Linked DNA regions of Ovis aries. The protein of the gene in region 1 interacts with the protein of each later gene in a pairwise test. Links are inferred from orthologs where the notes say so. Each region holds a gene or a part of one and is shown on either strand. Other genes may lie near its edges.

Region 1 (3,560 bases):
CGCGGGCAGGCTGGCCTGGGCCGCTGGCGCGGTCGAGGCCTGGAGGACAGGCTGTGGCCGCCTGCCCGCAGAGGCCCCCAACGGCGTGCCTTCCCTCCTGCAGTGGCCTGCACGTTCAGCTGCATGATGAAGTTCACTGTCAAGGACTGCGACCCCACCACCGGGGAGGCGGACGATGAGGGCTACGAGGATGAGTATGTGGTAAGCGCCGGCGGGGCCCGCAGGGCTCACGCCAGCCTGCACGCGTGTGCGCTGGTTTCGGTTTAGACGTCGCAAAAGAGTTCTTGTTTTTAACTTAAAAAATACATGTTCAAGTGTCACAAGAAAACCTGGGAAATAGAAAAACAAGTACACTCAGGCAGGGAAACGTTCACTGTAGCCCTTGGGAATGGCTGCGGGGAGAGAAGCTGTGTCTGATGTCATTACATACATTACAGATCTTGTTGGTTTCCCTTAGAACCAGGGTGTAATTTCCCGTCAGTACAAATACTTCATAAACACAAGTCTTAGTGACTTTAAAATACTCCCTTCTATTGACATATCCTAATTCACCTCACTTTGTATTCCAATAACATTGGGCATTTGTGATTCCAAATTCTCACTGTTTTTGAGTGCTACAGTAAACACCCCTTTCAGTAAAAATTTGTGCCTGTGTTTCAGACCTGTCTTGTGACTGGAAGTAGAATAATTAAAAAAACATTTAAAATAATTAAAAAAACAAGTAGGATAATCGGGTCAAAGACGCAGGACGGTTTCAGGGCTTTTTGGTTCCTGCCATCAGTCGCTTTCTAGAGAGACGGGGTCAGTTTGTGTCTGTCAGCGACCTTCTGACGCAGTGAGGTGCCCCTTCCGGCTCCAGCTCGCGGGGCTAGCACAGAGCCGAGGGCAGGGTCATTCTCGATTTGCCCGGCGTGCGGCGGCTCCCTGCCATCTGAGTGCAGACCCTGACAGGCAGCCTGGGATGGAGACGGCCAGGGCCCTCGTAGCCAGAGGGGCAGTCGCTGGGGCACACCCGATGGGCACTTGTGTCCTCCCGGGTCCAGGCCTGAGCCAGCAGTGCGCGCAGCCAAGGCCAGGAGGGCTGGGTATGAAGCCCGGCTTCTGCCACAGGGGCTGTGTCCTACCTGTGAACGCCCTCCCCGCGCACGGGAGCAGGGGCTCAGCAGAGAGCTGCTGGTGAATGAGCGGGAGCCTTTCCACACAGTCGGTCCAGGGTGCGCGTCCAGAGCGGGCCCGGCTGACTCGGGGCGGCCTCTGAGCACTCCTCCCCACCCCGCCCCATCAAGTCAGGCACTGGCGGCTTCGGAGGGCGCGCTCTCACAGCCAACACCCCGAGAGGAGGACAGGGGCCCCTCCATATCTGTGGGTTCTGCCTCCATGGATCCAACCAACAGACGGAAAATGGAGTGGGTTCCAGAAAATTCGCAAGAGCAAAACGTGAGCTTGTCACACAAGGCAGCTATGTACTTAGCGTTTGCACTGTGTTTACGTCTGTTTCCATGACACTTACATCATATCGGGTATTATAAACGCTTGAGAGGTGGCGCAGAGCATAAGGAAAACGTGCGCAGCTTAAACGCAAACACGGCGCTGCTCCACGTAGAGGACTGGAGCCCCCAGGAGCTCGCTGTCTGAGGGCGCGTCCCGCCGAGGGGCCACCACCCGGCCGTGAGCTGCTGAGGACAGGCCGCTGGTCCGCTGGGGCCCGCCCCGGAGCCCAGCGCTCGGAGCCTGCGCGGTGGGAGGGGCGGGTGGGCAGAGCGGAGCGGAGGCTCTCGCCGTCTCTCCTGGAGCTGTGTGCCTCAGGACCCTCCTATCGCCCCCCAGCTGGAGGACCTGGAAGTCACGATAGCGGATCACATCCAGAAGGTCATGAAGCTGAACTTCGAGGCAGCCTGGGACGAGGTCGGGGATGAGTTCCAGAAGGAGGAGACGTTCACCTTGTCCACCATCAAGACACTCGAGGGTAAATGCTGGGGGTGCCGGCTCTGGTTTGCCTGCCTTTCAAGACCCTTGGCCACTGTTAAAGTGCTCCTCCTCCCCCCGTCCCCGCCCCCGTCCCCCAAAGATCCAGGGCCAAGTCTAGAGCATACAGTTCAGATACACAGAATAATAAAAAAGTCGCTCAGTCATGTCCGACGCTTTGCGACCCCGTGAACAGTGCAGGCCATGGAATTCTCCAGGCCAGGACACTGGAGAGGGTAGCCTTTCCCTTCTCCAGGGGATCTTCCCAACCCAGGGATCGAACCCAGGTCTCCCACACTGCAGGCGGATTCTTCACCAGCTGAGCCACAAGGGACAGTTCAGATGCTGCTCATTAAAAGCTGCATACAGTGGGATTTGGGGCTGGGGGAGTGGTGATAGCGCCAAGTGGAGATGAGCTACGTGGGTTAATAACTCTGGGACTCCTCCCTGCAGAGGCTGTGGGCAATATCGTCAAGTTCTTAGGAATGCACCCTTGTGAGCGGTCTGACAAAGTGCCGGACAACAAGAACACGCACACGCTGCTCCTGGCCGGTGAGTGGCGTTTCTCGTGGGAAGGGCCTGGGTGCCCCTGGGTAACCCGGGGATTTAGGGCTCGCAGCGCGGAACATCACAAGGTATGAGAAGGCCAGCTAGCGCCGTTTTCCCCCGGCGCTTGCTGCCAGTCAGTGTCCCTGCCCACGGGCAGCCAGTGAGCTCCTACACAGGCCTCCAGGCGCCTCCCTGTGATCCTAAGGGTGTGAGAGCAAGTGTGCATGCTGCCCTGTGCAGAGTCAGACAGCCGTATGCAGACGGCGGGCACGCTGCTTTGCACTTGGCTGTTCACTTCACCGTGCATCTTGGAGAGCCTCCTGGTTTTTTTCCTTTTTTTAATAACATGAAATTTACCAATGTAGTGATTTTCACATCAGCTCAGCAGCGTTAAGTACATTCCCGCTGTTTTGCAACTATCGCCATCACCCACCTCCAGAACTTTCCCGTCTTCCCAGACGTCTTCCCAGACTGAGCTCTGGTTGTTTCTCATGGCTGAGTACTGTCTCTCAGAACCAGCACGTGGACTGAGGGACACCTAGGTGGTTCTCGTGTTCTGCCATTACAGACTGCGCTGCAGGGAACAACCCCACACACACGTGTCTGCTTAGGCACTTTATTTTGGATGTGTGCACTCTGGGTATTTGTAGGGTGAGTTTCTCAAGGCTTTACCAGGTCAAAGTGCATCTTTCATCTCGGTAAATATCTCCAGCTGCCTTCCATAGGAATCGTGTGCCTTCTCTCCCACACTTCCAACCGGGCAGCGTGTTCGCAACCTGCGCGGCCTGTGCTGGGCGTGTCCGTGTGTCTCGAGTGGCTTCACTCTGAGTGTCCTGTGTACTGACGGGCGCTCAGCATCTCAAGTGCGATCTGCCATGATTGCTCTCACCCCCTCTGACGTGAAACAGCGCGTGCATTCTATTTATTTCTATAGTTTCCACTGAGTTGGTTATTCCTTTCTGATAGGAATGGGGTTTTTAAGCAGTTCTGGGAATTTTCAAACACACACACGGAACCCCCGTGCACTCCTCCCCCAGCCGTAGCAG
Region 2 (4,188 bases), on another chromosome or scaffold:
TGCGCTGCCGTCTATGGGATCGCCTAGAGTTGGACATGACTGAAGCGACTTAGCAGCAACAGCATACTTTTCTCTTAGGCAGTCTGATTCTGCTCTGAAAATTTTAGAAGAACTCCTGGGTTTAGATACTCTTTTTGGAGAGCTACTAAAGACATAACTGTTAGAGATGGAATTTAAAAAAAACTAAACCCACAAAAACCTCTGAGGGACAATATAAGGCAATAAGGGCTTCCCTGATGGCTCAGATGGTAAACAATTCAAGTGCGATGCAGGAAACCCAGGTTCCATCCCTGGGCCAGGAAGATTCCTCAGAGAAGGGAATGGCTACTCACTCCAGTATTGTTGCCTGGAGAATTCCATGGACAAGGGAGCTGGTGGGCTACAGCCCATGGGGTTGCAAAGAGTTGGACTCAACCAGCGACTAACACACATATAAGGCAAATAAAGGTGTCCCTGACCTACGAAACGTCAGGGACCAAGAAACTGAAGGGTGAGGAAAGCTAAACTTCATCAAAATCCCTCCCTATTGTGAAATCTCTGCATTCAGTAAACTTCTCTTTTCTCATTGTGCAATGGCTTGTCCCTACTGGAAAACAGCATACCCTGCTCCCTACATCGTTCCTTATCCTGGACCCTTTATTCCTGTGTCCCTCAGCATCCAAAGATCTCAAATCCCGTTTCACGGCTGGCCAAACAAAATCTGCTTTTAGAAAACTCACTAGCTTCTTGTCCTTCCCTGGATCAAGCAAAGTCTGGGACTCCACCTAGGGTAGATTGTTATTTTTAGCAATCAACCTCTAGCGGCCTTCTTTTTATCAAAGTAACACGCTGGTCATCTTGTGGCTTTACTTTATGACTGTGCAGACTTTGAGTATGCTGAAGTGATCTGAGCGAATCTGAAGGAAGAGCTAGTAGTGTTTGCCAAAGCTACCGTGAACATCGGGGACCCAATGGAGGCTCCGGAATGAAGATTCCGGTGGGATTACATCAAGACCTGCCAGTGTGAAGGGCCAAAGAGACACAGCGCCCCCTAAAGGGAGTGCGAATCAAAGTTACTAAATCCGACCGATGATATCACGTGCCCTCCGCCAGGCCAATTGAAAATTAACAATCGCTTCCTCTGTTCCCCATGGAAACAACCCCGCCCCTCTGACCTTCCCTCTCCATTCAGCCTTGAGGTTTTGTCGTTTTATTGAATGTTTAAACTGACAATCAAATACCTGCGCCTTCTGGCTGGACACCTTGCTTCCGCTAAGCAAACTAGTACACTGATTGGTCAATAAAATAATAGATGACATTTGGGCGTCCAATAACCTTCATCCCAGGCGGGATCTAATGAGGACGTAGGGCCAATCAGAGGCGGCGTTGCCTCTGTGGTTCCACGTCGGCACCAGCTGCGGGGCAAGATGGAGGCGCTGATTTTGGTAGGAGCTGGAGGGGCACCCGAGATCCTGCACTGTCCAGGGGGGCCGGGAGTCGGAGTTCAGTCTGAGTGGGAGGGGGTAGAAAGGGGAGTTCCTGGTAATCCTCGGGGTCCGAACGTTTTGCAGGTCCCTGGAATAAGCCTGTGGCCTAGTGCCGGAGCTAAAGCCTCGGTTTAGAGTAGGAAGCTGTGCCGGGGTTAGGGCAGAGTTGGTGGAAAGTTGAAGGGAGCACATGGAGTCCTTAGGACACATAGGATCATAAGCGTACTGGATTGGGGTCCTTCAGATTCTCTCTGATTATGTGCATTGTGGATGATACTGTGATTTGAGTTCCCCCAAATCTCCAAACTCGCCTCGAATTGTAAGAATAGAGTGCAGGTGTTTGTCATCACAGAAAACTTGTCACAGTGCAACTCTCCGTTGATAATTCCCTGTCGTAGACCTTAAAAAAAAAACTATTTTCTTCTTCGATTTCCTACTATGTAGATTTTGTCATCATAAAGAATCAGTATTCCATTAGAGTTCTGGAATACCTGATAAGAGTTAGTGTTGGATTGTGGAATGTTTTTTCAGACTTCTTAATCTGTTCTCCTTTTCCCGGTTCATTTAAATTTTGGGAATTCTTACTATAGTAGGATCTGGGATGCCAACTTTTCTCTGGTTATGTAAGAATTTTGGTGACTGAAGAGGTGTGTTACCTCCCCTGTCCATATAATCCTTTTTGCTTGCTCAAAAAAAAAAAAAAAACAAAAAACTATTATCTCTTCTTTAGAACTGAGCATTTCTCTCAAAAGTGCCCCACCCCTTTCAAACGTGGGGTTGTTAACATATATATGTATGTGTAATGTGTAGGAATTTAACTCCCAGCTTCTTAATTGAATTGAACTCTAGGTTCCTTTTTTACCCCCCTTCAGCTCTTCATATGTACACCTCCAAATCCTCATCAGGTTAAAGAGAATAACAGGTTTCAATATCCCTCTTTCAAAATGGCAAATGCAGGGATTCAGTTCAGTTCAGTCGCTCAGTCGTGTCTGACTCTTTGCAACCCCATGAATCGCAGCATGCCAGGCCTCCCTGTCCATCACCAACTCCCAGAGTTTACCCAAACTCATGTCCATCGAGTCAGTGATGCCATCCAGCCATCTCATCCTCTGTCGTCCCCTTCTCCTCCTGCCCTCAATCCCTCCCAGCATCAGGATCTTTTCCAATGAGTGAATTCTTTGCATGAGGTGGCCAAAGGATTGGAGTTTAGCTTCAGCATCAGTCTTTCCAATCAACACCCAGGACTGATCTCCTTTAGGATGGACTGGTTGGATCTCCTTGCAGTCCAAGGGACTCTCAAGAGTCTTCTCCAACACCACAGTTCAAAAATATCAATTCTTCAGTGCTCAGCTTCTTCATAATCCAATTCTCACATCCATACATGACCACTGGAAAAACCATAGTCTTAACTAGATGGACCTTTGATGGCAAAGTAATGTCTGTGCTTTTGAATATGCTATCTAGGTTGGTCATAACTTTTCTTCCAAGGAGTAAGCGTCTTTTAATTTCATGGCTGCAGTCACCATCTGCGGTGATTTTGGACTCCAAAAAAATAAAGTCTGACACTATTTCCCCATCCATTTGCCATGAAGTGATAGGACCAGATGCCATGATCTTCGTTTTCTGAATGTTGAGCTTTAAGCCAACTTTTTCACTCTCCTGTTTCACCTTCATCAAGAGGCTTTTTAGTTCCTCTTCACTTTCTGCTAGTTTCTTCCAAAAATATGGTTTGTTTAAGTCTAGGTAGAAAGCTTTGAAATCTTACTAAAGATATTTTCTGTACCAACCAGTTAACCAGTGTTCTTAACTAGTTAACAGACTGAGATGAATTCTAGGGAATTGGTTTCTTTGGAAGTTTTAAGAAAATTTTAGACTGCCCCTTAGTTCTGTTTAGAAGGGAGCCTGCTTATAGGTAAAGGAGTGAGGAAGATGATACTCCAGGAGCCCTTTTAACAAGGGATCTGTGTGTAGAGTGACCTGAGTTATATGTGAAAGTCTCTCTCCCTCTCACATTTTCTCTTACTTCAGTTCTTATCTTTGCTTCCATAATGAAGTTTGTTTTGACCTGCTTCTTCCTTATATCCATTTTAATCTTTACCTAAGATGCTTCATTCACAGATCCTTGCTGACCTGATCAGGTATCCCTGAAGTTTGCTTTAGAAACCTTACTGATTCTTTGTCCTGAGGAACCTATGTGATGTGTAAGGGGAAACGAAGATTAAGGGAAAAGGGCTTCCTCGAGTAAGCACAGTCAAAACCAGGATTAGTTTTTGACTCCTAATCCTCCCAGACCTAGTATTTCTCTCATATTATCGTGTGCTTCCACCTCTTCAGTATGCCAAATTGCACATTCAACTATCAGTTATATAAAACGTTAGTTAGGTACAAAGTACCAACTTTCAAAGTACCAACAAAGTACCAATACAAGTTCTTGTCACCAGAGTTCTTAGAATATCATATTAGTAATTTCCTTCCTCTTTGTCTGTGCTTCCCAACATTTTTGTATGTGTGTGCTCATTACTACCTTCAATATATTTTGGGCCCCCAATTAAGAACTTACGTATCTTTCTCTCCATTCCAGCCCTTCTCAACTGGAGTTCCAGGGGAGAATTAAGCCCTAATGCCGTAAGACATCATTGTATGTAATGAATCAATTTCTCTGTATACGCAGTGTCACTAGTTTTATACTATCTTTGGGAAGAGTAAAAAAATAGTATTAAAT
Region 3 (4,305 bases), on another chromosome or scaffold:
GAAGCAGGTAGGTGGGAGCAGGTGGCAGTAGCGGGGGTGTGTGTGTGCTGGTGAAGGGGAGGAGGGTGAAGGTTCACCAGAAGAGAAAAGGGAACAGCTGGGAAGGGGAGGAAAAAACACCTCTGAAGAAAAGGGAATGGCCTGTGGGTATGTGAGGCCGACAGGGACAGCTCTGTCCAGGCGGAGATGACAGTGTGCATCTGAGAGTTCTGCGCAAGGAAGATGAGGACACTTACTGTCAGTTCGGCTGGTCTTGTTGAAGACATTTTTCTCGAAGGCCATCTGCTCTTTCATGGAGGGGAATGTGTCATCATAATACTAGGAGGAAGGGAAGGAGAAAAAGTGACAGCCGTTCCACAGGGTCTGGCTTCTCCCTGGATGGGTGGCAGGGTGCTGGCCAAGTGGGACCCTGCTGCCATGCCCCCTCTCCTCTTGACTGCCCTCTATGCCTGTCTGCTATTTCCTCCTAAACACAAATTCTGAGCAAAGAGAGTCATAAAAAGTAGAGGAATTTTGAGGCCTGCCTTTGGAGTCCTGTCCTGATTTCTTGGAGACCTTTGTGCATTCAGCAGATGGCTGGGGCAGTCACTAGCCACACTGTTTCTACACTAACCTGAGTCTACAGGAAAGAAGGCAGAACCAGGGGCTCTTTACCACAATAATATCATAACAGCTATTTTATTATCCACATTGTATGGATGGGGTAACTTCCCTGACACCTCACAGTTTAAGGGACAGAGCTGGGATGCAATGGCAGCGATAGTCTGACTTCAGACAGGATTATGATGAAGATCCCCTGGAGAAGGAAATGGCAACCCACTCCAGTATTCTTGCTTCGGAAATCCCATGGACAGAGGAGCCTGGTGGCTACAGTCGAAAGAGTTGACACGACATAGCAACTAAACAACAATGACAACTACGGTGAAGATGAACTATCTAAGGCAGAGTTCCTGGCACACACTGCCTAAGGAAATCAATGCTGTTTTGTTGGGTTTGATAAGACTGTCTCTCTGACTCAGTTCCTGCATTTGCACATGGATGTGATCTGCTGGGAGGAGGCCCTGGAACCTTTGGTTGCTGAGCTACCTCTGACCATCTGCTAGGGCAAGGGACGGTCAGCTCAGCTTCCATTTTCTGAATGTAGATTTTGCCACCTAGTGCCCCATCTGCAGGCAAATTAGTGGTCTCCCTGCCAGCCACTGTTGTGATGAACAGGCTCCCTGCAATGTCATGAAGACAAGAAGTTTCAATCTAAAAAGTCTAAAAACAATCTAAACAATCTAAAAAGTCTACGTTGCATTTCATAGCTAGTTTAGGTGTCACAGCCCCACTATAGTTAATTGTGTTGATGGTAGATATTTATTTTTGGATTATTCTAGTTTGGTTTGTCCGGCCATGATCACTAGCATATATACCAGATAACTGAATAGTTGGTGCAGAGAGAATCATCCTCCTGAGCTTCAAGTCAAAATACCAGAGTTTGGATCCCTGCTCTGATATTAGTACCTGTGATTCCAGGCAACTCTAGCTTCTCTAGACTACCTTTTCCTCATTTATGAAAGAGTTGGATTAAAATCTGGTCTATAAAATCCTATGTTTTAAATCCTTAGTGTTTACCAAGCTGTAAAAGCAAAGCAGAGGGTACTTGTTCAGAATTGGGGGACCAGGTATCCAGGGTCCCAGGCCAGTGCAAAGGACAGTGAGAAGACATTCCGGGGAACATGAGTAGAAACAGAAGAGACAGCCCCTCCCCCTCTTTGGGGGCCAGCATTCTGACAAGGCAGGAGGATGGACAGAATGACCTTTGGAAGGGTCTCAGCTGAGCTGCTCTGTGTTGCAGAGCCCACAGTGGGGTCTCTCCTGCCAGGTGAGTCAGCTGGGTGGGGACTTCTGGACTTGGGCCTGTGGCACAGTGTCTTCAGGGGCCCTCCGGTGAGGGTGGGAGGTTACCTTGGCCAGCAGGCGGTGTCCGTCATTATCTAGGATGAAAACGGCCTTGATAGTGTAGAGGGAAGGTTCCTGCAACTGACACGGGGGAGAGCTTTGTTGGCCCCTAAGCCAGCGCAGACCCCTGTCATCGGCTCTACGTGATCTGCTGATCCCAAGAGTCCATCCTCAGGCCAGCGACCCTAGCCCCAAAAGTTCACAGCTGGTTTCGGCCCAACCCTATGCCACATGGACCACTCGGGTGCCCGCTCCCCTCCCAGGCAGATGTCCCACTGCAGGCCCTGGGTGGGCGCTGTGCCCATTGGGTGCAGAAGGTCCGTCCGGGCCCAAGTTCTGTCATGCACTGACTGCTCCAGAGCCCGAGTCGGAGTGTATCACAGAACCTGGGCCGGGGGGACAGCGGCGCCGAGCTCCTCCAGCGGCCCCCGGCGCCCTGGCCCGTCGGGCTCCAGAAGCACGCACGTCAGCCCGCCGCCGGGGCGGCCCCGCGCTCCCTAGCCCTCCGGGAGAGACGCAATCCAGCCGGGCCGAGCCGTCCCCGCCCGCTCCGACTGCTCCAGAACTTCGCCCACGCGGACGCCGCACCGGCCTCCTCCCGAGTCAGCGCGGAGGAACTTTTCTGCCCGCGCGGGCGCCGCCCCTCCCAGGCCGGTCCCGGCGGCAGCAAGTTCCCCGGCGCCCGGCCCGCGAGCTGGCGCCCCCCGGCCCCCGGCGCCGCCCGCTCCGTACCCGCAGCGCCGCGGGCTCCCCAGCTCGGGCGGGCGGCGCCGGGCCCCCAGTCGGGGCGGCCGCGGCCCCCTCCCCCGGGTGCGGACGTGGCCAGGCCTCCGGCCGCTGCATTCCGCTCGCTGCCTCGCGCTGACAGCGCCGCCCCGCCCCGCCCCGCGCCCCCCGGGCCGCCGCCGCTCCTCCCCGGCGGCCGCCGGCCTCGCGCCCGCCCCTCTCAGCCCCTCCGCGCGTGTCCTTCCTTTCCCCGAGGCCCTTCCCTCCTCGCCCTCCCTCCTCTCCCTTCCCGCCCTCTCCGCCCTGCGCTCACACCCCAGCTCTCCTTCCCCTGGCTCTCCTTCCTCTCGCCCTCCTCGGCCCCTCAAAGCCCAGAGCTCCTTGTGTCCTCAGTTTGTCTCAAGAACGGCCTCCTTTCCCCCTCCTGCCTTCTCTCTGGCTTGTGGGTTTGGTTTGCACCGACGTCCACAGGCTGCCCTGAAGCCATCAGAAAACACAGGCAAAGTCCAGTTTGTCTCTGGACTCCTGGTAGGTACTGTTGGCACAAACACATCAGGTCATCCTTTGGACTTCAGAGACAGGTCCTAGCAGCGGGAGCAGATGAGGACAGCTCTAGAGAGACTCCTCTGTGCAGTAGAGTTTCTCCCATGCCTCTCCCGAGACTTGGGGAAGGCAGCCATAGCGCCTGGACACCTCTGCAGACACGGACACAATCTGAAATGAGACAGATACCCAGCAGTACAAATGTTCCGCCTGTGAATGGCATCAGGCTTTGCTATGCTTTGGTTCCTTTGGCCTAGGTATACTAGGTGGTTTAATCACTATGTCGTGTCCGACTCTTTGAATCCAAAGACTGTAGACTCCCATGCTCCTCTGTCCATGAAGTTTTCCAGGCAAGAATACAGAAGTAGGTTGTCATTTCCTTCTCCAGGACCTTCCCAACCCAGGGAATGAACTCTTGTCTCCTGCATAGGAAGCAGATTCTTTACCCCTGAGCCACTGCTGCTGCTAAGTCGCTTCAGTCGTGTCCAACTGTGTGTGACCCCATAGATGGCAGCCCACTAGGCTCCTCTATCCCTGGGATTCTCCAGGCAAGAATACTGGAGTGGGTTGCCATTTCTTTCTCCAATGCATGAAAGTGACAAGTGAAAGTGAAATCGCTCAGTCGAGCCCGACTCCTAGCGACTCCATGGACTGCAGCCTACCAGGCTTCTCTGTCCATGGGAATCTCCAGGCGAGAGTACTGGAGTGGGTCACGATTGCCTTCTCTGCCTGAGTCACTAGGGAAACCCATTAAGTATACTAGAGGGCTTTAGCTTCAGAATCTTCAAGGCTAGTGGGAAATTAACAGTACTTCAATGGCACCCCACTCCAGTACTCTTGCCTGGAAAATCCCATGGACGGAGGAGGCTGGAAGGCTGCAGTCCATGGGGTTGCTGAGGGTCGGACAGGACTGAGCGACTTCACTTTCACTTTTCACTTTCATGCATTGGAGAAGGAAATGGCAACCCACTCCAGCGTTCTTGCCTGGAGAATCCCAGGGTCGGGGGAGCCTGGTGGGCTGCCGTCTATGGGGTCACACAGAGTCGGACACGACTGAAGTGACTTAGTAGTAGCAGCAGCAGGCATTTACCC

What was found.
Region 2: the proteins of COPG1 (region 1) and COPZ1 interact in a two-hybrid assay, tested with the Homo sapiens proteins (2 studies listed by BioGRID). The link is inferred for Ovis aries from reciprocal best matches to the Homo sapiens genes COPG1 and COPZ1.
Region 3: the proteins of COPG1 (region 1) and COPZ2 interact in a two-hybrid assay, tested with the Homo sapiens proteins (2 studies listed by BioGRID). The link is inferred for Ovis aries from reciprocal best matches to the Homo sapiens genes COPG1 and COPZ2.

The regions. Positions count from the first base shown.
Region 1 is NC_056072.1:59,032,419-59,035,978, forward strand, and holds part of COPG1 (coatomer subunit gamma-1), read left to right. Parts: intron 1-103; coding exon 104-201; intron 202-1,827; coding exon 1,828-1,966; intron 1,967-2,418; coding exon 2,419-2,517; intron 2,518-3,560. UniProt on the Homo sapiens protein: The coatomer is a cytosolic protein complex that binds to dilysine motifs and reversibly associates with Golgi non-clathrin-coated vesicles, which further mediate biosynthetic protein transport from the ER, via the Golgi up to the trans Golgi network.
Region 2 is NC_056056.1:132,224,506-132,228,693, reverse strand, and holds the start of COPZ1 (coatomer subunit zeta-1), read left to right. Parts: upstream 1-1,381; 5' UTR 1,382-1,406; coding exon 1,407-1,424; intron 1,425-4,047; exon of another isoform or gene 4,048-4,104; intron 4,105-4,188. UniProt on the Homo sapiens protein: The coatomer is a cytosolic protein complex that binds to dilysine motifs and reversibly associates with Golgi non-clathrin-coated vesicles, which further mediate biosynthetic protein transport from the ER, via the Golgi up to the trans Golgi network.
Region 3 is NC_056064.1:38,174,262-38,178,566, reverse strand, and holds the start of COPZ2 (coatomer subunit zeta-2), read right to left. Parts: upstream 2,808-4,305; 5' UTR 2,788-2,807; coding exon 2,677-2,787; intron 2,330-2,676; exon of another isoform or gene 2,261-2,329; intron 2,026-2,260; coding exon 1,951-2,025; intron 319-1,950; coding exon 237-318; intron 1-236. UniProt on the Homo sapiens protein: The coatomer is a cytosolic protein complex that binds to dilysine motifs and reversibly associates with Golgi non-clathrin-coated vesicles, which further mediate biosynthetic protein transport from the ER, via the Golgi up to the trans Golgi network.